Lonchura striata: one gene and its partners. The protein of the gene in region 3 interacts with the protein of the main gene of each other region in a biochemical or structural test. Links are inferred from orthologs where the notes say so. Each region holds a gene or a part of one and is shown on either strand. Other genes may lie near its edges.

What was found.
Region 1: of the proteins of OXSR1 (region 3) and WNK1, one has a biochemical effect on the other in vitro, tested with the Homo sapiens proteins (2 studies listed by BioGRID and IntAct, with this or other methods). The link is inferred for Lonchura striata from reciprocal best matches to the Homo sapiens genes OXSR1 and WNK1.
Region 2: the proteins of OXSR1 (region 3) and WNK4 are reported together in a solved structure, tested with the Homo sapiens proteins (2 studies listed by BioGRID and IntAct, with this or other methods). The link is inferred for Lonchura striata from reciprocal best matches to the Homo sapiens genes OXSR1 and WNK4.

What each region holds. Positions count from the first base shown.
Region 1 is NC_134607.1:12,041,651-12,049,516, forward strand, and holds the start of WNK1 (serine/threonine-protein kinase WNK1), read left to right. Parts: upstream 1-4,779; 5' UTR 4,780-5,133; coding exon 5,134-5,880; intron 5,881-7,866. UniProt on the Homo sapiens protein: Serine/threonine-protein kinase component of the WNK1-SPAK/OSR1 kinase cascade, which acts as a key regulator of blood pressure and regulatory volume increase by promoting ion influx.
Region 2 is NC_134627.1:6,218,609-6,225,520, forward strand, and holds the start of WNK4 (serine/threonine-protein kinase WNK4), read right to left. Parts: upstream 3,098-6,912; 5' UTR 3,083-3,097; coding exon 2,630-3,082; intron 1-2,629. UniProt on the Homo sapiens protein: Serine/threonine-protein kinase component of the WNK4-SPAK/OSR1 kinase cascade, which acts as a key regulator of ion transport in the distal nephron and blood pressure.
Region 3 is NC_134603.1:152,475,318-152,482,376, forward strand, and holds the start of OXSR1 (serine/threonine-protein kinase OSR1), read right to left. Parts: upstream 3,029-7,059; 5' UTR 2,829-3,028; coding exon 2,759-2,828; intron 1-2,758. UniProt on the Homo sapiens protein: Effector serine/threonine-protein kinase component of the WNK-SPAK/OSR1 kinase cascade, which is involved in various processes, such as ion transport, response to hypertonic stress and blood pressure.

The DNA of each region.
Region 1 (7,866 bases), on a different chromosome or scaffold from region 3:
GGGTGAAAGGGAAATGTATGTTTCAAGCTGATGAAGAAGCACATGCTCTGCTCCAGTTTTATGGTGCAGGGTTGTTGACATTTTCTCAAGCAATAAATAAGAAAGGTCACATAATTAACTGGATTTAGTCCTTCTTATGCAGTCTGGCTAGCTGTTTCACCAGTCCTTCAGCTACAGCTCAGACTTTGCTCAGGTGTTTCAGCTGTGGTGCACACCTGTCTTCCTGCAGAACTTGGAGACTCTCTAAGCCAGGCTAGCATAAAGAGAGATGTTTGGTTTTAAGGCCTGTAAGACTTGTAGTTCTTCCTCTTTCCAATTCCCATGGTTTCTGCTAGTGGAGAGAGCACCCAGGTTCAGAGGTTTGGGCAAGACTCACCATCCAATGCCATCTGATGGACCACCTACTGCAGAGCCTGAGGACTTAAACTGCCTATAGGTCCTAGAGATGGTTACAATGTTTTTGTAACCAACCCAACCTCCAGAGCTACTTGCAAGTACAAAACCTCACCTAAAATAAAATAAATTAAACTGGCTTACTAGAGGATAAAACAGAGCAAAACAGAATATCTGGAAAGTCTCATTCCTCAAGCATGAGGACTTGAAATATTTTATTTCATTTACTTGCAGCTCTAAGAAACACAAGTGAACACTGTGGCAGAGGCCTAGATTTAACAAATGTCAAGGCAAAAGAAGAAACTTTTTTAGAAAAACTTGTACTGTCACTGTTGTAATATGGCATTGTAGCTGCAATTTGGTAATTGGCAATAAAACTGAGATGAGGAGTTTGCTTTGCAGAGCACTTAGGTTATGGAATAAAAACATATGCATCAAAATTATGGCATAGCCTCCTGTATTGCATAATGATTGCATAAGAGAAAATAGAGAATAGCTGCTTCCCATTAAGACTTTGTCACATGGGGAGGTCATGGATGCCAACAGTGGATGAAATTTCATGGAGAAAGCAAAACTGGAAAAAAAATTTTGATTCGGTCAACTTCAAAATCACACTTCATTCAAAGTAATTTTTTTAAACTATTATTGTTCCAACCAAGACAATTGTAACTATAAAAGGCTTGACATAAGGATATTTTTATAATGTCAAGTGTAAGCCCTTTGGATTCTATCAAAAGATTGTTTAAATCTCTTTGCCTGTAATTTCTCAAGTGTAGTCAGTCTCCTTCTTTCTGTGGATTTTTCTTACAGCAAAAGGCAAAATAAATATTTTTAATTGGTTGTGGAGCTCTGGCACAGGAACTATTTTTTATATTAATTGTTTCTAAACGTAGAATACATATAGAATTTACTTTGAGCTTATTAAATCTTGCTGCGATACCGAAATTTTCCATTTAGCCTAACAGAGTTTTACAGATTAAAAGAAATAAAACTGAAGGGAAAGGAAGCCTACACTCTTTATTACAGTAATCTTTTTTTAGAATGACAAAATTAAATCAACACCCACATAAAATATAATTGCCAATATCATACCATTTCTTTTTTCAGAGTCAAAGAAGACAAAAATCCATCATTCCCACCTCCAGGTCAGCTGCTCAGCTCTTTTTTCCTGCCAAGATGATTGCTCTGCCTACCTCTGCCCAGAAGAGGAGCCAGTGTGAGGAGCTGGGTGTTAGGGACCTTGCACTGAAGACCAACCTCCCAGAATTTCAAGAGTGCTAAGGAATGTGCTGGATCAGACACTGGGGATGTGCCTTTTTACATAATTACCACAATTTTTTAGTCAAAGACCGCCTGGGGCCCCGTCTGGCTATGCTGCAGTCTCTTTTGCAAAGCTTTTGCTAACTTAACTGAGGGAAAATATATTTAAGAAGAGTGGGTGAGAGGCACTTGAGTGAGAAGGGGCAGCACGCGAGGTCTCCTGTGAGCCACATGTGCAGGTCGGTGGTTCCCAGCTGCAGCCCATCTACCTGGAGTGGGAGATCACAGGGATGTGGCTGGGCACAGACCTGGGACTGCCCGACAAACCTACTGGTGATGATGATGATGCAAGTGGAATTCACCAAGCAGCTCCATGGCCTTACACCACACTTTGATTGATCACTGCATTACCGTGGGTACATGCCGAAGGAGTTACATCAGGCATCGAATGGAGCAAGGTTTGCTATCCACTCCTGCTGGTCCTATCCAAAGGGGTGATAAAAATGCAGTGGGCAGTGGAGGAAGGCAGATCTCTGAAGGCAGCCACAGCAGAGCTGCTGGGACTGCACAGGCCAGGGGAGGGAATGGGCCTGCATTGTCAGCTCCTGCTGGAGCCCTGCTACTGTGTCCTACTGCACTTAACAGTATAAAGCCAGCATGGATACACCTGCTGCTGCTATGCACAAATTGTCTTTCTGCTGCCCAGAGACATCCACAAACACCCGCAGTCACGCCGAACCCTGATGGCGATCAGAGGAGCTGCTGGTCCTGGCAGTGCAGCAGGGATGAGGCAGATTGAATTATGAGTTAATCAGTTTTGATCCAGCCACTCTGCTGCTAATCAAATTACCCTGTTCAGCTCAGCATTGGTTTGGAGCATGTCTACTCTTGGTGCCAATGCAGTTCAAGTGGCACCCTGACAAATCCACGTTTCCAGTGAAGGCAAGCCCTAGAAGGCTTAAGCCATGCAAAAATCTTGACTGTAGAGCTGTACAACAAAACACTTCTTGTCCTCTTTATGAAGACTGTACCATTATTTTGTTTGATGTTACAAAGGCTAAAAAGGATGTACATTAAGGATGCACAGAAGGATGTATGGAAAACGGCAGTATGCTGATTACTGCGTCAAATTTTTTTTGTGAGGAACACAAGCACGTGAGAATTGCCCAGACTGATGATTTGTGGCTGGGAGCTGTGGAACTCTGTCTGAAAGGGACACTTGTGCTACTTTTTGCAGAAGGAGTTAAGGCCTCACATCAGCAACACACAACTTCCTCTAAACTGCTGGTTTAAAAGTAACATTAGAAAAACTATTTAAAACAACAGTGTGTTTGCTGAGAACATATTACTTACTCAGGGAATTTTCTTAGTTTTCTTTTTCTTCCTCAGTGTAATTTTTGCTTTGTAGCTGCCTGAAAGTCATGGCACAAAATCATTTACTCCTTCTTCAATACATTCCAGTTGACTTCAAAAGATTGCTGGCGTAAGAAGGAAAGTGCTTGGTTTTCGTTTATTCTACAAAAGAGGAACATGATATAAATAATTTAGATGACTCGTCTTTGCCAATGCCTTGTTAACCTGAAAGTTCCCAATTCATGTCAGGGTTCATGTGGGCTCTGGCTGCTGTACAGCCCAGGTTTTGTACAGCCTGGGTTCAGCTGCAGCAGCCACAAGCACGACTGAAGGGGCCACAAGATAACACTTGTGTTAAGGGCAGAGGGTGCAAATTCTTTTTCTTTTGAATAATGACATTTACAGAGCAGTTAATTGCATTTCAGGTTGCTTGGCCACTTAGTGCCTCTTCAGATGGCTTAAATGGAGCAAAACCCCAACTCTCTACTTGTTTGTATAGTACTCAGCTACATGGAGTTGCTGTTGCCCATGATTTTAAATAATTTTAGAGGCTGTTTGAAAACATGACCTCATTGCTGTCTTCAGCTTCACAGGGGGGAAGTGGAGCAGCAGGCACTGATCTCTTCCATCTGGTGACCTGTGACAGGAATGGCCTGAAGTTGGTGAAGTTTAGGTTGGATATTACAAAAAGGTTTTTCCCCCAGAGGGTGTGTGGGCACTGGAACAGCTCCCCAGGGCAGTGGCACAGCACCAGCCTGCAGAGCTCGAGGAGCATTTGGGCACCGCTCTCGGGCACACGGTGTGACTGGGGATGTGCTGTGCAGGGCAGGCAGCCGGACTCCGAGTCCCTTCCAACTCGGGATATTCTGTGAGATATATTTATCTACTTATAGACAATATCGAAATGAATACGTACATCCGAAACACTTAACGCGTGGGTGTAACACAAGACTCGAAGAAAGGAGCAGTGCAAGCAGACCTGGTGCCTTTTCACCTGCCGGGCGGGGGGAGGAAGGGGCGGCCGCGCAGGACGAGCTTCCCCACAGCACATCGGCCCCCAGGCCCTCGGCGCACGCCGGGATCCTCCTTCGTCGCTCCCTCCCCTCTCCTGTTCCTCGCTCCCTTCCTTCCTCCATCCCGGGGGAATCCACGGGCGGCTCCCCTGCCGCGGCTCGGCCGCTGGAAACTACCGCTCCCATGGTACCCCGCGCGCGGCGGGAGCGGCCACCTCCCCTCGGCGGGGGGGGTGGAGGGGACGATGCGCGCTCGGGCAGGGCGTGGCCGGCGGTGCGGCCCCTCCTCCCCCCCCCGGACCGTGTGTCGGTTCGAGCTCCCGCCGTCGCCATTTAGCGCCGAGGCGTCGCCGGGCGGCCGCGCTCGGTCCTGCCCGCCGGGCGCCACCCGGACTCGGCTCGGCGGCGGCCCCGGGGAGCGCCAGCTGCGGGCAGCGGGAGCAGTAGCAGGAGGAGAAGAAGAGGGAGGAGGAGGAGGGTTTCCGGCTCCGCGCGAGGCGGCCGCGGCTGTTGGAGAGAGCGCGGCCCGGCCGCGCGGGCGGTGGCTGCGCCTGCCGGGCGGTGGAGAGGCCGCGGCCGCCATGGGCGCCCGGGTGAGGCGGGGCTGAGCCCCCCGGACCCCTTTCCTTGCCCTGGGCCTGCCCGGGCCTCTGCCGCTCGGAAACGAGTGACTGAGCGCGGCGGCTTTGCTGGCGTGCGGGCCTGCGCCCCGCTTCCTCCTCGCGTCCCGGCCCCTTTCTCCCCCCGCTCTCTCTCCATCGCCGGGGGTAACTGCAACCGGCGAGCTACCGGCGCTTCCCCGCTCGGGGGCCTCCCCGGTGCTCGGGCTTTCCTTTCTCTCGCCGTCCGCCACTCCAACCCAGCGCCCCGTGTCTGCTCCCGGTGCTCCATGTCGGCCCAGCTGCCCTGCTCCCCGCTGCAGGATGGATGCACACGCTGACCGGGGACCCACCCCGCCGGCCCAGCCTCCCAGCTCCGCCGAGAGGAGCCCTTGGGACCCTCCTCTGTTGCAGCTGCAACGGCAGCCGCGGCCGGGCGCGCTCCCCGCTCAGTGACCGGCCCTTCTCTCGCCTGCCGCCGCCGCCTCGCCACAGCCGCGCTCCCCCGGGGCACCATGTCGGCGGACGCCGCCGGCAGCGGCCCCCCGAGCCCGCGCTTCCTGGTGCCGCCGCCGCCGCCGCCCAGGAACGGTTCCAGCTCGGACAGCTCTGTCGGGACCTCCGGCACCGGTGGAGCGGGCGGTGGACCGGGGAACGAAGGCCGCAGTGAGGAGTACCGGCGCCGCCGCCACACCATGGACAAGGACAGCCGAGGGGCGGCAGCCACTGAGCACCGCTTCTTCCGCCGGAGTGTGATCTGCGACTCCAACGCCACGGCCTTGGAGCTGCCCAGCTTGCAGCCCGCAGCGCCCTCGGTCCCTGTCTCGGGAGGCAGCGCGGCTCCCTCGGTGTTCCCTCCCTCGGGTGCCGGCCGGACCCCTTACGCTCCTGTCACTGTCTCCGAGGCCGACTCGCGGCCGCCGCCGCCCGCCCCGCTCCCCCTGGAAGGACAGGCTGCCGAGGAGCCCCCGGCCGCCAAGGATGCCGCCCCGCTGCTGCCCAAGGAGGAGGAGGAGGGGGATGAGGCAACTGCGCTACCCCCTACCAGTGTCGCTGGCAGCCTGTCTGCTGCCAGCCGGGAATTTGAGGAGCGGAGAACGCAGCAGGAAGACATTGAAGAGCTTGAGACCAAGGCAGTGGGCATCTCCCCGGATGGGCGCTTCCTGAAGTTTGACATCGAGATTGGAAGAGGCTCTTTCAAAACTGTCTATAAAGGACTGGATACTGAAACCACTGTGGAAGTTGCCTGGTGCGAGCTACAGGTAAAATAAATAAATAAAAAAAGTGAATTATCACACCACAGTCACTCTCCCAGGTGCTAGTCATTGTGCTTGAAGGGGATAAAACCCATCAGCTCGAGATCTTCTTGATTCAGAAAGAGCTGCAAACCTTACCTGAGGAAGTCCTTTGAAAAAAAGGTGCATCCTTTCCATAGAGGCAGTTTGCCTTTTAATTATTTTAAATACTCTCTGAAGAGTCTTTTAGCTTTATCATTGCAGAACATGCTACAGTTCTGTTTCGTATAGTGTCTTGCATTTTATGCCTTTGAAAGGAGGATTGTAAAATCACTTGTGTACAGCTTCAAGGAGGCTGAGGGAAGATGGGCAAGTGAATGTCGACTTGAGCTACCCTTAACGTTTCAGAATTTGTTTAGGTGTTTTTCTTAGGAAGAAATGTGAAAACATTAATTTCACAGTCATTTCATTGGTAGTGGCAGTGGATTCTTGTGGGATAGATGACTCTAGAACGTACACAAGTCATGCAGTGTATCACACGATTTAGTTTTGCAAAGTTTTATTCATTTCAACTTCCAGGGTTCATATTTGTTAACAGGGACAGGGAAAGAAATTATCCTTCCAAAGCTTTAGAAAGCACCCAAAAGTTTAGCCTTTCTAGATGGCTGGTGGATTAAATTGGACTAAGACACCGCTCTTTTATCAAGTTTCTAGACTGAGCAGAGCCAGAGTTCTGTAGGAGCCCAGTCTAAGGATGGCAAGAACACCCTTGGTTCCCTGCGAGTCACAGCTTGTGCAACAGACACAGGTTGCTGTGCAACAGCCTGGAAAAAAGTGGGAAGAGCTGGGAGTACCAGGAACAAATACCTGGTGTGCTGGTTTGTTTTCAAAGCCTCAGAGTTAAGTAAAAAGTGTTAGTGTTTGTTTTTTAGTATTGGGTTTTGGTGCAATTCATAGAAGGGCTCATGTAGTAGATCTTTATTATTGTTTAGGGCAGACAAGAGAGCATTGGGTGAAAGTCCCAAAACTCTTTGTGGAGTTTTTGAGCAGTCAGTGGCTCACAAATGATCAATTGCAGTAACTGCACCAGAACTTTCTCAAAAGCATTTGTTTATTTGTTTCAGTCAAGCTGAGGGAATTTATTAAAAGATTTCTTAATTTGAATTCATAGTTGCTTTTGGATGGTTGCTCAAGCATTCTACCAGTATCTTGGTTCATTATGCTATTGCCATTATTCTGTGCTTACTAACTGTGGAAGAAAGCTTCCAGTTTTCTTTGTGACCCTTCAGCATGCCCTGCTCCTCCACGCTAGCTACATACTTGCTGTGGTGGCCTGTTTCAGCATTGATTTTAAATTGAAAGTAAAATGATCAAGTGTTGGCTCTGCTGAAGCTTTACTTGTGCAGTTTGAATTGTGAGGAGATAAATAATCTGTCAAAATTACATTATTTTTATTTGAAATTTTAATCTTTTGAATTTTTGAGTTCTGTGACTATTCTCTGAAGATTGTTTTAATCTTCACACTTACTGATCAGAAACTAATGGCAGCTTGGCATCCGTTGCTTTTCACTAATGTTGCCTCTTGAGGTGTGTTAATCATCATCAGTACCATGTGGACAAACTATCTGAAGAAACACCACTTTTGAAGGAATTTATTAGCGAAGCTCATTTTTAAAGGGCGTGTTGCTGGGCTTTCAATTGGTTTCTGAATTTCATTAATTGACAAGTTGCAAAAAGCATGAATGAGAATATTTGCAAGGGGGAAATACTTGATGTGCTGCTCAGAGGGGAACTGCATTGCAGGAGTGCCGTGTGGGTTAAGTTAAGCCAGATTCCAGAGGCTGTTTTTCCTCTCAGGAGACAGTATGAAGTGAGAAGTTTAAACCAGCTTTTTAAAATTTACATTTTCTAATTGTTAAAAGTATTTGCTGAAGGAGCTAGACTCTACAGCTAGTAGAATATTTTAAGATTGAATCCTATTTTATTGTTTGTGACTAGAAAGAAAAGGAGGAA
Region 2 (6,912 bases), on a different chromosome or scaffold from region 3:
GCTCTTGCCCACTTGGGGAACCCCAAGGGGTTCCACAAGAAAATCACACAGTCAGGTATTTACAGCTCGACCCCACTCTGGGCCTCTGGTTTCCTCCCTGCTTCCTCTTTCCCCACCGCCCGCAGCACCTAGGACAGAAATAGTGCCAGGCTAAAGCTGGAAAGCACAAACAGTGGGGCTGTGCACACGGGCGGGAGGGACAGACAGACGCTGCCTTCAGGACAGGGGACAGGGATGGGCAGGTCCCCCGAGGGGTCTCACAAGACAGGCAAAACCAACCTCTGCCTCCCGAGCTCTGAGGAGGGAAGGTCAGGGCAAGGACAGCAGGGAGAGCTGGGGTTGGGGACTGGGATCCATCACAGCACTGAACCAGGTTCTCTGGTGCAGAACAGGTCAGGCCTGAGGTTAAGTACTCATTTGGAATTGAAAGGTAATAGAAGGAGAACTGTGAAGTGCACACGACAAAGCTATTTTTAAAATAGCAGAACCACAACCATTTTTATTTGTGGTTCCAAATCCCGTATTTGTGTCACAGTGTCCAATTTTTGCACGATTGCAGAAAAAAAACAAACTTCTAAATGTCTGCATCTGTGCTCTTAGCCCCTTGTGGGACACAGATTTGGGTACAAGAGACAGTGGATAAAGAGCAGTCAGTGGAATTCAGCCAAACACTGGGTGGGGAGGGCAGGGGCAGGCACGGGTGGGAGCAGGGATGTGACTGCACTCCCGTGGGAGGGTGCAGGACCAGAGGGGTCAGGTCTGCACCCAGCACTATGGGATGCTCACAGGAGGGTCCCTGGCAGGAGCTCAGCCTGCACCCCAGCCTCTCCACAGCCACCCCCAGGGGACAAGTGAGTGGTTCTGCCACTCCTGCCTGGCTGGCTCGCAGGACCAGCAACGGGCCCAGCCTGTGCCTGCTGGACTGGAGCACTGGACTGGAACACGGAAGCATTTTGCTTCCCAGCTCCCTTTTCCCTTCCACCTGAGTGGTGCAGGCTCATCCCCTTGGCAGCCCCTCCAAGACAGCAGCACTGCCTGCAGGGAGGAGCAGGAACAAGACCTGCTGCCAGCCCTGCCAGCTGTGTGCCAGCCCCAGGGCAGGGGAGCTGGGCCACGGCTGGGCCATGGGGCTGAGACCCACAGGGAGGGACACGGAGCCAGCTGATGGGAAGTGCTGGGCACAACTGACTCATCCAGGGAGGAAGGTCCTGAGTTCACCAAGGAGAGCCTGTTCCAGTCAGTGGTTGCCACCTGAAGGGATGTAGGACTCAAGAGAGCTCAGGGGCCTTTGGACAGAGCTGTGAGGCTTTGTGAGAACTGAGCTGGCTCTGAACTGAACTCTCAACAACAGGAGCAATTGTGGAATCCATGGGGGTGAGGGGCAAATCTTCACCTTCCTCACTACGAGGCCATAGTCAGCCCTCTAAAAACCACCCACCAGTCTCTCAGGATCTCTTCTTGCTCTGCTGGGCTGCAGCCACTCCAAGGACCCAGCCCTGGCAGCCACCTGCAATTGCACTGAGCTTTTAGGAACAAGACAACAAACTCGAAAGACACGTTTTTCTGTGTCAACAAGGACTTGGACCTTCCCACCACAGCAGCCATCCCAGGCTCAGGAGCCTGAGGGAGACTTTGGACTTCACCAAAACCCCTCCCCGGGTGCTCCAAGGAGAAAAGGCAGCCCCACAGCACAGATCTCCCTGTGCACCTCCATGGACAAGATCAGGCCCATCAAAAGCACTTGAGTGAGCAAAGGCATTGTGGAGGCAACACTATCACCACTGCTCTCAGCATGCTGCTGTCAGGCTGCAGGACAGCCAAGGAGATGGAGGAGTGTGGCAGCAGAGAGGAGAACAGGGATGCTCCTCAGAGACCTGGAACCACAGGTCCAGCTCTTCCAGTATCCTGCCATCCCCTGGCAACATCACAGAAACCACTCACAGGTGGCCATGTACACGACTTCAGCCAAGGTCAAGCAGGCAGAAAGCACCAAGGTCGTGTTGTACCCTGTTCCCAGCTGACAGCCAGCCCCAGCTCGCTGCCCCAGGGCACACCAAGGGCTATCGGAGCAAACCTTGGAGGCAGCTCCAGCACAAGCACAGGCAGGCATGCAGAGAGGGCACTGCTGCCCTCGCTGTCCTCCTGGAGGGAAAGCTGCGAGCTGCTGAGCATCGGAAAGACAGTGGGATGGATGCTCAGCCCCAGATCCACCTGTTAAGTGCCAGAGCAGGGACTGGCATCAAGAACGTGGGCACATGCTCCATAGTGCAGGCAGCAAGAAAGCAAATGGAAAACAGCACGTGATGGGCAGGAGGGCCAGGAGCGGCGGCACTAAGCAGGCAGGAGTCTGCGTGCGGGCCAGCAGACCCACGAAGCACCGAGGCACGGGCAGTGATGGGCACAGCGCAGGGCAGAAGCAGAGGCTCGAGGGTGCCCGCCCTCGCCGGTACAGGCTCCAGCCCGGGAAGCGCCCCGCGGGTCCCACACAGCAGCAGGGTCAGGGCCGGGGAGGGCTGCACATGGAAACTGGACAGAAGAGGGTCCAGGTGCCTCTCTCCAGCCCCTTGCCCCGGGGCGGGGGTCTGTGGGTGCGGGCAGACAGGGGCGGAGGCGCTGGCAGGGGCCGTACCTGCAGCTCGCACCAGGCCACCTCCACGGTGGTCTCCGTGTCCAGCCCCTTGTAGACGGTCTTGAAGGAGCCGCGGCCGATCTCGATGTCGAACTTGAGGAACCGGCCGTCGGGGGAGGTGGCGACCGCCCGCGTCTCCACCTCCTCGCTCTCCGTCTCCTCGGGTTCCCGGAGCCCGGCAGCGGCCGGCGGCGGCGGCGGCGACCCCCCGCGCTCCCCGTCCGGCGCCGGGTACCCCAGCAGCTCCAGCTCGGCCGAGCTCCGCCGGTTGAAGCGGGAGGAAGCACGTCGGGAATCGCGCCCCGAGGACCGCCGGCTGCGGTTACGGTGCGGGGCCCGTCCGGTGAGCCCCGGAGCCGGCTCCGGCTCCGGCTGCGGCGCGGAGCCGCTGTCCGCCCGCTCCGCCTCGGGATGGGACATGGCTCCGGCAGCGGCGGGCTCGGCCGCCAGCATCGGCTCCGGCCCGGTGGGAGCGGCCGCTCCCGCGCAGCTTCGCACCCGTGGCCTCCGACACCCCGCAGCCAGCAGCGACCGCCGAGACCCGCTCCGGGCACCGGCCCCGGCACCGCCGCCGCCCCGCCCGGCGGCACCGCCCCCGCCCCGCCCGGGTCCGCCCCCGAGCGACCGCCGCCCCCCGCCCGCGCTGCGCCACCGGCCCCGCGCCGGGCAGGGGCACCGCACCGGCACCGCACCGGGCACGGCCCCGGGACGGCGCCCAGCTGCAGCTGCGGACACGGGCTGCGAGCGGGGCCCCGCGCCCCGGCACCGCTCCCGAGCACCCGGGATGTCCCCTCCCAGCCGGGGGTCACCGCCTGGCGCCCACCGGGTCCGCGCTGTCCCCGGGGCTCCTCGCAGTCCCCTCCCCGCAGGACAGCCCCGTCCCTGCCGCCGCCCCCGCGGGGCTCCGGGGCTGCTGTGACTAACGCAGGAATGTCCCCGGTTCAGACATTTCCTCGGAGTTTCTGAGCCTGGACCCGGAGCAGCGTGTGCTGGAGCAGCGGAGAGCCGCTGCCGGGACGCCGGTTCCCCCCCAGACAATCCCGCTCGGGTTCACTGCGGTCCGAAATCCTGAAATTAGGGTCACGCAAATAGGAAGAGTCGAAGGTGTGTGTCAGCCCCGCGGGAGCCAACAGCCGGACAAGAGCGTGTTGTCTCTCCAGGCTGAAGGAGAAGGTTGTTCTGCCGGTGAGGCTGTTTACATAAAACACAAAGCAATTGAGGCCACCGCAGATTTCTTTTCCCTGAGGCCAGATTGTTTCTACTCAACGATACCGGAAACATTAAGGAGTGGATCGAAAAGGGAACGCAGTCGTGGTCTCCCAAACGCCAAGCTGGCACCCGCAGGGTGATGCCGGGTGACTGCGGTCAGCAGCTCGGCTGTGGCCACGTCCCGCACGGCTGCTCCCCACAAATCCCCGCTGGGGCGGGGACAAGAGGGAGGGACAAGTATTTAATGAAATGTTCCTGGCCGACCTGCGTCTCGCTGATCTCTGCTCTGCTAACCCCACCCGACCCACCTCCTCCTGCCCCAGGAGACAGGTACCTCCTTCCCAACAAGGAGTTTGATCGATGCCACCCTGCCAAGAGCTGCTGGAGCAGAACTGGCCGGAGAGCAGGGAGCAGCAACCACATCCCGACTCAGCCCTGCACTCCTTGGAGCATGTCAGGGGCTTGGTCCCAGGTGAAGAAGCAGCGCTGGCAGAACACCGTGTCCAGCCCCTGCAGGGCTGTGCCTGCTGCTGGGGCACCGGGAGCCCGTGGCCACTGGAGCCAAAAAGCCAAGACTGAGAGGCCACAGGTGCAGTGCTTGCACTGGCCCTGCCATGGGTGACTCTTGGGTTGTAAGATGCAACATGGCTTGGCTCAGCTCTGTTAAACAATGCTCTTTGTTCAGGTGAGCCTTACCCAGAACCTTCTGAGCATGGCCAGACAGTGGGGCAAGCTGCTCGAGGCCCTCTTGGTTGACTCTGGCTGCCCCCACACAGAGGTCCCTGCCAGGGCCCATGCACTGCTCAGGCTGGCAGGGAGCCCTGCTTCTCCAACAGGAGACACAGAGCCAGGCAGGGACCTCAGTTTGTCCCCGGCAGGCTCATATCTCCTTATCAAGGGTTTCCATCGTGAAACAAAATGCCTTGGAAGATCCCAGAGGAGCAGGGGAGTATCCCGGTCCAGTGAGGCCCCTGCAGACAGGGGAGGAAATTAGGGGAGAAGTTTGCTCCAAGTGCTCCCCTCCCACACCTCCCTTGTGAGTGGTCTGAGAAATTCCCTAAATGATCTCTCCAAATGCCACTCCACACCAGAAGTTGGTAGAGAGGTGGCAGCTCGGGCAGGGGAACAGATCCTCTCCTGACCTGGCCAGGAACACCAATCTGCAGCCAGCTTGGCCTGAAACCAGAAGGCTCCTGTTCCACAATCAGGCGCCCACTGCAGCTCCCCAGCATTATCAGGGTGACATTTCTGGGCTGCAGGTGCCAGTGCCAGGCTTCACTTTGAGGAACCGCCACAATCAGGGAACATAACCCATTTCTCGCCTACATTTGGCTGCCAGGAGTACAAGGCACTGTGTAATCACCCTCCTCAGAATTAGATCATGAATCAAAGCCCTGCTCAGCTCCAGGCTCCGCCAAGCCCTGCCAGGAATTGTCCATTCTGACCCCAGAGCTTGGGGCAGGATCACAGAGGGGCCAGGATGGGTCTGGACAAAGGGGATGCACAGCTGGGGCTGCAGAGCACAGGGTGCCTGTCCTGGGATGCTCCAGGGACACCCAGGGCTTATTTCACTGTTACCTTCACCACCCCATACCCACGGGACCTTCTCTCTCTCACTCTAACTCATGTGAGTTCAGGGAGGCAGCGATGGCACTGAAACCTCAGCTGTGGCTGTAACCCTGGGCAGATCACTGCAGAGGATTTCCTCAGCCCAGAGGCACAGATGGGACCTGCCTGCACGTTTTTCCCAACATATAAAGTTATCAAACTGAAACAGTTCCTGCTCCTAAGCAGCTGCATTAAAGAAAATCTTTCTCAGAATCTTTCCTCCTTGACCAGTGGGATCTGAGTGTGCCCAGCCTGATAGTGCCTTATCTTGGCACCAGCCCCTCTGAGCTCTGCCTCACCCTGGCCAGCGAGCCCTAATCACCGTGGCCAGATGTGGCAAGGGCCTCTGAGGGGCCACAGGCTGGAGGGGGGGGTTGTACTAGCCACCCCCACCCCCCCAAAACCACCCTGAGCCACCTCCTCCAGCGAGCCCCTCCCCAGGGCTGTGTGGCTGGGCTGGACAGCACTTCACAGAGGGACATCTGCTCCCTCCAGGCTGGCAGCAGCTCTGCCACTCTCAGGACCCATCCCACGGCCTCAGCAGGGACACCCTGGCCTCAGCAGGGACACCCTGGCCTCAGCAGGGACACCTCTCTGCAGCAGCCCTGCCCAGCCCAGGGAAGCTGATCCCACAGGTCCTCACAGGCATGGCTGGATGTGGCCTCTGGTAACCAGAGCAGAGGGTGTGGAAAAGGAATTTTATACAATGTCCACTCTGGAAAGGGGACGTACTCTTCCTCCTCCTTCTCCCCCCCCCCAACTAAGTAAGCAACTAAATAGGAAGCTGAAAAAGAGACGGGAATTGCTGCCAGGAGTGCCTTGGAATGAAAAGCTGGTTTTAGGCTTATCTAATGTCACATCAGCCATTTCCTAAGAAGGGAGCAAATTTAATTAAGAACACAGACTCCCTCAAGGACAGCCAGGTTACATACAGCACTCCCAGCCTGGAACACAGTGCTGGGAGGTCAGCATCGTGCACACAGGCAGTGAGAACAGACACTCCAGCCCGGCTGCTGAAGGATCATTGTTTGGGATCAAAGGCAGACACCTTCAGGCACAGCACCCTGGCTCCCTGCAGGGCTACAGGAGCAGCCAGGGAGGGAAGGGGCAATGCAGGTGGCATGGGGAGGAAAGCAGAGGCAGATCTTGGACATGGAAACAAACCCAGGGCAGACACTGGGAGCACATGAATCCTACACAGAGACTTTGGTGGCTGCAGACAGAGAGGATGATCCCTGATCAAGCAGAGGCTGTGCCAGTTTTGTGGGGACAGATGCACTGCAGGGCTCATGGCACAGCCTCTGCTGCTGGGTTTGCTCAGAACCCTCAGTGGCAGGACCATGACAGAGCTCCCAGGGGTGATGGTCCTCAGAAAGGAGACCCCACCAGCCCATCATGTCAGTGACTCAGGAGCATTGCTGGTGCCTTTGTTCAGCACAGAAGTGCTGGCACTCAGGAATTCCCCC
Region 3 (7,059 bases):
AGTTATTAATATTAACCAAGCATAATCAACATGGATTTTAATCCACACCTTTATAATGGCATGAGTCATCCCCAGTGCTGAATAATCCTTTTTTATTTATATATAGTATTAGCCAGAATCAGGGGAGCACTTTTACAGTAGAAGTTCTCTTTGCAGATCGGAAACTTGCTTTTTCTATTCCTGCACTTGAGTGGTATGGAACCATCCACATCCAATAAAAGCCAGACATGGCTATTTTCAAGCAAAAACAAATTCAAGTACAAGTACAAATTAAAGAACTGGACTACAAACAGATTTCCATTATTCCAAAAAACAGCTGAGTTGCTAATCTCAAAATTTACTGTAAATTTTAAGACTAATGTTTTGGTTTGGTTTTTTTTATTTCATCAGGAAGCAAGTTAAATCCTTTAAAACCACTGGTACAAGGTTCATCTCTTTCCACACCAGAACGTCTCTTAGTTCCGTGCTGAAGAACCTTTACAGCTCTTCAGTTATAAAGAGAGCTCAAAAAAAAAAAAAAAACCCAACCAAAAAACCCTTGAGGTTTACAGGAGACATGAAGCAGGAGGCAAGGCAGTCCAGCTCAGTTAACACAGTGACATTTTGTCCCACAAATCATATACGTGCTAGGAAACTTGCGTCACATCTCCATCCAGGCCGCTGGCAGACACACCAGTGTTTGAAAAGAGTAAAGGGGGGGCAGGGGACAGGAAAGTTAAAAAGAGAAACCATATGTTTGCAATATACACATCTCAGTGTACACTCCATCACGTGCCAAAATGCCAACACAACCTTTCAGTGAGCAGGCGACATCCAGAAACTCAGTCTGCAGAGGGACAGGGAAAAGATAAGTAATTAAACACTTTTTCCAGATTTCTTCCCAAGACCTGTCAGTTAACATGAGACAACACATCTCTGTGTGTCTCCCAGTACTCCGAGGCTGTGGGATGTGTGTCTCCAGCAGCAAGTTCTCCCAAGAGCAGAAGTGTATTTACATTCCCTTTTGTTCCATCCCTCCCTGCTCCCCAGCTACAAAGAGGCATTCACTCCTATCCTTGATTACTCAAGTCCAAATCCTTGCTTTTGCCATCAAAACACACCCCTTTGCAGGCTCTCAAAAGAAAAGGAAATATTTCCTCTGAAAAATTCAGTTTTCTTTCCCCAGGAAACTGGTGGCATTTTCTCCCCCTTCCTCCTCACACCTGTATCTCCTGCTCCTTGGGGAGGCTGAACATCCTCCTCCCCGGGGCACATTTTCCAGAGCTTTAAAAGGTTGGTCTGCAGGATTACATCTTCCCTGTCTTTACAGGGAGCTGGTCTTCTTCCTACAGCGCTGCTGGTCTCTCAAGGCAGAGGGAGAGGACAAAGCCTGATCCCACAGAGCAAAAGGGATTTCCAGAAGGATCTCCCCCTCTCCACAGCTTTAGTTCCTTCCTACTTTTAAACAATGGTAAGAATTTAATCTCTTAAAACAGCATTTTCACAAACTCTCCCACCCTCAACAGAAAACAAGCCTCCCCACGAGGCACAGTGGAAAGCCTGGGCATGACAGTGCTACGTCATCCAGAAACTTCAAATAAAAGCACTCCACAAAGATTACCCAAAGAATTAATCTCCTTCCTAAAACCCTTTGGCCTGGAGCCTGCCCTGCCACTCTCCTGCTTCATTCCAAGTCTCCGGAGGGTGAGACGGGAGGCACCGACCTTAGTCACCTGTGGCACCACCTCCGATAATGTCACACACTCACCCTAGAGCAATATATCCCTCAAACACACCCTGACAAAATGGTCGAGACAGCCAATAAATCAGTACAGCGGGAGGCCTTTGGTAACTGGGCAGTTTAACGCCAAGAGAGAGTGAAAAAAAAAAAATAATAATTTAATGGAGAGAGCAAGGACTGGGGCCTCGAGCTGAGGACAATGAATGAAAACGCACGGCAGCAGCAAAATCCCAGGGTAAAAGGTTCATTCGGCGGCTCTACCAAAGCCTCCGCGCAGGGACCAAAGCAGCGCGGGGCTCCGAAGCTGCTGAGAGATGTGATCGCCCCAAAATGAACCGGGCTGCCCTGGAAGGAGAGTCCACGCAAGCTCTGGATTAACTCCCGCTGAGCACCTCAAGCCCAGCACATCCCAGACCACACCGTGATGGGAAGCGAAGCCCCCCAGAGCGGATCCCGTCCCTCTCCCCCCGACACCAGGAGACACAAACCCTGCCCAGGGAGGAGCCCCTGCCAGGGGGGCATCCCCGCGACCACCACAATCCTCTCCTGGGATGGGGCAGCCCCACATCCCCTCCCGTGGGCCACACACACAGATGAGGAGGGGCAGCAGCCTCAGCAGAGGGGTCCCACAGACCCTCAGAGTCCCCCGCAAGGCGGGGGGACAGAACCTCTCACATCCTTCCTACATACGTGGCTGGAGGAGGGGGGTGGTCACACAGCCCCAGTCCGTGACCGGGTGTGTGCGACGGGACCCCTCCAACCGAGAGACACCCCAGACCCTCATACCCCTCAGAGTGGGGAGACAGACATCCCCCTCAGTTGAGGGGTCCCACAGACCTTCACACAGCGTGGAGGAACGGACCCTTCACACCCTCACATGGCTGAGGGAGGGGGAAGCCGCACAGTCCCACTCCTTTGCGCGGTGTGTGACAGGATACCCCTCAGCCGAGGGGATCGGACCCCCGCTTCCCTCAGCGAACCCACACTCCCACATCCGCGGGGCACCCTGCACCGCCCCAAACCCCAGTGACCGCTCACCGATGACCTCCTGCAGCTCGTAGTCATCCTTGTTGATGGACCAGGGCAGCGCGCTGGGCTCCTCGGCCATGGCCGCGCCGCGCCCGCCGCCCTCCGCGCCGCGAGGGGGAGCGTCCCCGAGGGCTGAGGGAGCGGAGAGGAGGCGCTGCGGTGTCCCGGCTGTCCCCGAACCGCGGCCGAGTCCGAGCCCCCTCCTCCTCCGCCTCCTCCTCTCCCGCCGCTACCGCCGGCCCAACTCCGGCCGCCGCCACCTCCTGCACCTGCCCATGCCCGGAGCGCGAACGTCACCCGCGCGCGCCCCGCCCGCCGCGGCGGGGCGCCGCCCGCCGCCATCTTGAGCGTGGCGCGGCGACACCCCGCCCGCCGCCAGAAGGCGACTACGCCACGGTTTTCTCGGTTATCACCACCGGCCTCAGGGGACGGGCCGGTAAAGGAGGACCGCAAAGCGAAGGATAGAGGAGGAGCCCCTAAGGAAAGGGCGGGAGATGCCACACACAAGATGGCGGCTGGGAGCACCGTCCCCGCCCTCAGGCACAGGGCGGGAGCGGGTGTCTGTTTAAGAGGAGTGAGGGCAGCGATTGGCTGCCCGCTGCGGATCCGCTGCTCCTATTGGTCGAGCGGCTGTCAATCATGTGCTGGCGTTTCCCGGGTCCCTGTGCCCGAGGGGCCGGGCCCCGCTCCTGCCGTGAGGGGATCCAGAGCGGGGCCCGGCCCGGGCGCTGCAGGGATGCACATTCCGTGTTTAAAAATAGCGTGTGGGTGTGGGGGATCTGGAGGCCTGGTATGCTCGCAGCCCCCGAGGATGGGCAATTCTCTGCTCCACACCGCAGTTCCAGCGTTCGTGGATATGTCCGACACTCTGATGGAGATGTCCTGCACGCTCATCCTATGGTTTAAGGCTCCACACCCGGAGCTTTTTTATCTGGATGCACTCAGGAGTACATCTGGTCATCGAGGAAAAGAAATTAAAATTTAAGAGTGAGGAATACAAGGCTGAGTGGCACCATGCACTCAGGAAGGCTGATGTCGCTCTCTAATATATATACATTTAAATGGTTCATAGTTTGAGGATTATTTGCATTCCCCAACATGAAAAGAAATAAAAGAGCATCTCACTATTGCAATGCAGGACTGTAACCATCAGGAGAACTGACTTGGAATCTGAGTATCAGGTTTCATCCTTTGCTGGTCACTGTTCTTCTTGTGGCTTGATGTCAGGCCCTTCTGTGGGTCAAAGAACATCAGTTACATGTATTTTTAGTTTATTAGGACAAATTCCTGAGATGCCTCTGGTGAACCAGGCTTTGTGGAGGGCCACTGCCAAAGGCAGGGTCTGACCACAGTGCTTTCACTCGTGCTCTAATGGAGGACACCAGCTCCTTCCTTCACTCTTTTTTGTCTTTACAAAAGCCCCCAGCCCCATCTCGCTCACTGCTGTATGGGCACTCCACAGCTCTGTCATAAGGCAGAAGCTCCAAGTGAAAAGCTGTTTGTTTTCCTGCTTGTCTGTGTTAAACATTCCCCTGCTGAGCCGTTTTTAATATTTGCTAAATATGCCTTAATTACTGCTCGGAACTGTCTCTGTGATCTTTTAACCATGTTATAGAAGGAGTTTATATAGCAATTAAAAACAGGTTTTACCCCAGAGCAGGCACCCGGGTAGCCAGTGTCATATTTCTGATAGCTAACAGCATGTTAAAAATGGATCTGAGCCAGGCACCAACTACAAAAAGAGGCTTTTACACTTAATTTTACCACATGCATTTAAATTCAGAACCATCTTTTGGATTCTCTTATTCTGGGCTGAAAATCCTCTCCCTGAAGGCAATGCTAAAACTCTTACTGCTTTAGACCACTGGGGTAGGATTAGGTCCACAATGTGCCTTGTTCTTTAAGAATAACCACAGGCTCTGATCAGAATTAAAATTTAACATGTTCACTGGCAAGACCACTAGTGGCCACGTGAGCATAGAGAGAGGAGTACTACATTTTAATTTTCCAGTTCTGCCATGAAAAATGCATTTCCATATTTTTAAACCCAGATCTCTCATTCACTAATAGTCTCCAGGTCTCATAAATTTGGCATTATTTTTTTCTTTTAATGAACTCAGCATTTTGAGTCTCTCAAACGACAGAGATTACTGTTGCACTCATTCATTTGGTGGGTTGTTCCAACCTGAATCTGCTGAGGGATGAAAACATGGAGCTGGATTCCACAAAGCTTTCATTCCTTAGCCAGCTACAGACCTCCAAGCAACTTCTCTTCTTTCATCACTTCTGCTCATCCTCTTTTTCCTGATTTGCTGAATTTTGCCTGTCTCGTGTAGGCTGTGAGCTCCTCAGGGCAGAGGCAATGCATCTATTTATAAAAGAGCTGTGAAGTGGTGCTGCTGAATCAAGTGCTCTTTTGTAATAACAAGAAATTTTAGTGGAAATATGAAGTGGAAAAGCAGCTTCCTGGTGTATCCACCTCTGCTCTGGACCGGGCTTTAGCAGAGATTGAGAAGTGGAAAAACTTCAGACGTCTTTCAGATGGGAAGGCTGCAGCCTGAGAAAAAAAAAATTCCCTGTTGGAAAAAAAAAAATCCAGAGCTGGGTTTCCTGCATTTTTTGACTTCCAGTAAAACACCATGGATCAGGGCAGGCGGGGCCCTCCTCCTCCATCAATTCTGCAGCAGAATGGAGGCTTTCTCCTGGCTCCTGCATTTCACTGATATCCTGGGGCTGGTGTTCCACTGCCAAAGCCTTGGCACACCAGGCACACAACGCATGCTCACACAAAATGCTCCCCTTCTCGTAAGGCACATGGTTTCCTGCCTTTCTGGGCCAATTGCTTATTGTTTCAGTGAAACTTACTGGCACTGTCCAGCTCTTAGCTTGGTTTTTCCATCCATGTAATATTGCAAAAATGATGTTTAATACCCAGGTTGGTTTTTGATGCTCAGCACACAGGCATTGCTACCTTTAGTACCTGGAAGGAGTTCTTGACGGTTTTTCTCAACAGGTCAAGGGAGGTGATTCTGCCCCTCTGCTGCAGTCTGGTGAGACCCCACCTGCAGATCTGCATCCAGCTCCAGGGTCCCAGCACGGGAAGGACATGGAGCTGTTGGAATAAATCCAGAGGAGACCACAAAGATGCTGGAGCACCCCTGCTGTAAGAAAAATGGAACAAACTTTTTAGCAGGGCCTGTTGCATTAGCACAAGGGGCAATGACTTTAAACTGAAGGACTGTCAGTTTGGATGAGATATCAGAAAGAAGTTTTTTACCATAAGGGTGGTGAGGCACTGGCACAGGTTGCCCAGAGAGGTGGTGACACCCTATTCCTGCAAATATTAAAGGTCAGGTTGGATGGGGCTCTGAGCAACCTGGCCTGGTTGAAGGTGTCATTGCAGAGGGGTTGGGCTGGATTGCCTTTAAAAGTCCCTTCCAACCCAAACTATTTTATGATTCTATGGTCATCATCACAACTGTGAACATAAACTAACTTCATTTATGCGTGGGTCGCAGAAAACCAATTTAAACTCCAGTTTGTGTATTGAAATCTGTCCTGCAGATTTAATCTTTCTAGCCATGTAGCCTCTCAGATATATAATTTCCTTCTTGTTAGAGTTTAAGCCGAAGTAGCTCTTTCAGCATGGCCATGCAGAGACATTTGCTGTCACAGTTCAGCGGTGTTTGGGCCGTGGCATTTGTTGCTGTGTTTATGGTTTAAGGCTCTTTAAGGCACCATAAACCTCTGTGTGTGAGTGCAGTGGCCCCCAGGGCTGGTGCAAACAATGGCAGTTCATGTGCCTGTGGAGCTGCCTGGTACAGGCCTGGGCTGAGGGAAGCCCATCAATGCCTGTTTTATTGCCTTCGGAGCTGGACAAACCCATGTCCTCGAGCAGAATGCCTGACCTTGTTCCCTGCAGAATTTGCCTGCTGTTCTCTCTTCATGGAAACACTTCCAGGTTTATTGAAGGGACCTTACTCTATCAAACTGCAGCTGATTACTTAACTAAGTGCAAGGCAGTTTCCTCTCCAACAAACAAAGGCAGGCACTGCACTTGATCTCCAGGGGTTTCTCCTGGCAGCTTTGCTTTGGAGAAATGATATGAAGACCCTGCAGCGGAGGAAGGAGCAGTGATTTCAAGCCCTCCAACTGGAGCAAGCTTTTAATAATAGTTGTTTTTAAACCACAAGCTAAATTCCAGTCTAAACCACACCAGCAGGTTTTCCTAAGTGATCTTGTGTGCTACCCTGTATCTCCACCCCGTCACAGAGCCATTTTAAATTCAGCTCTGAGGTCACTTTGAAGTC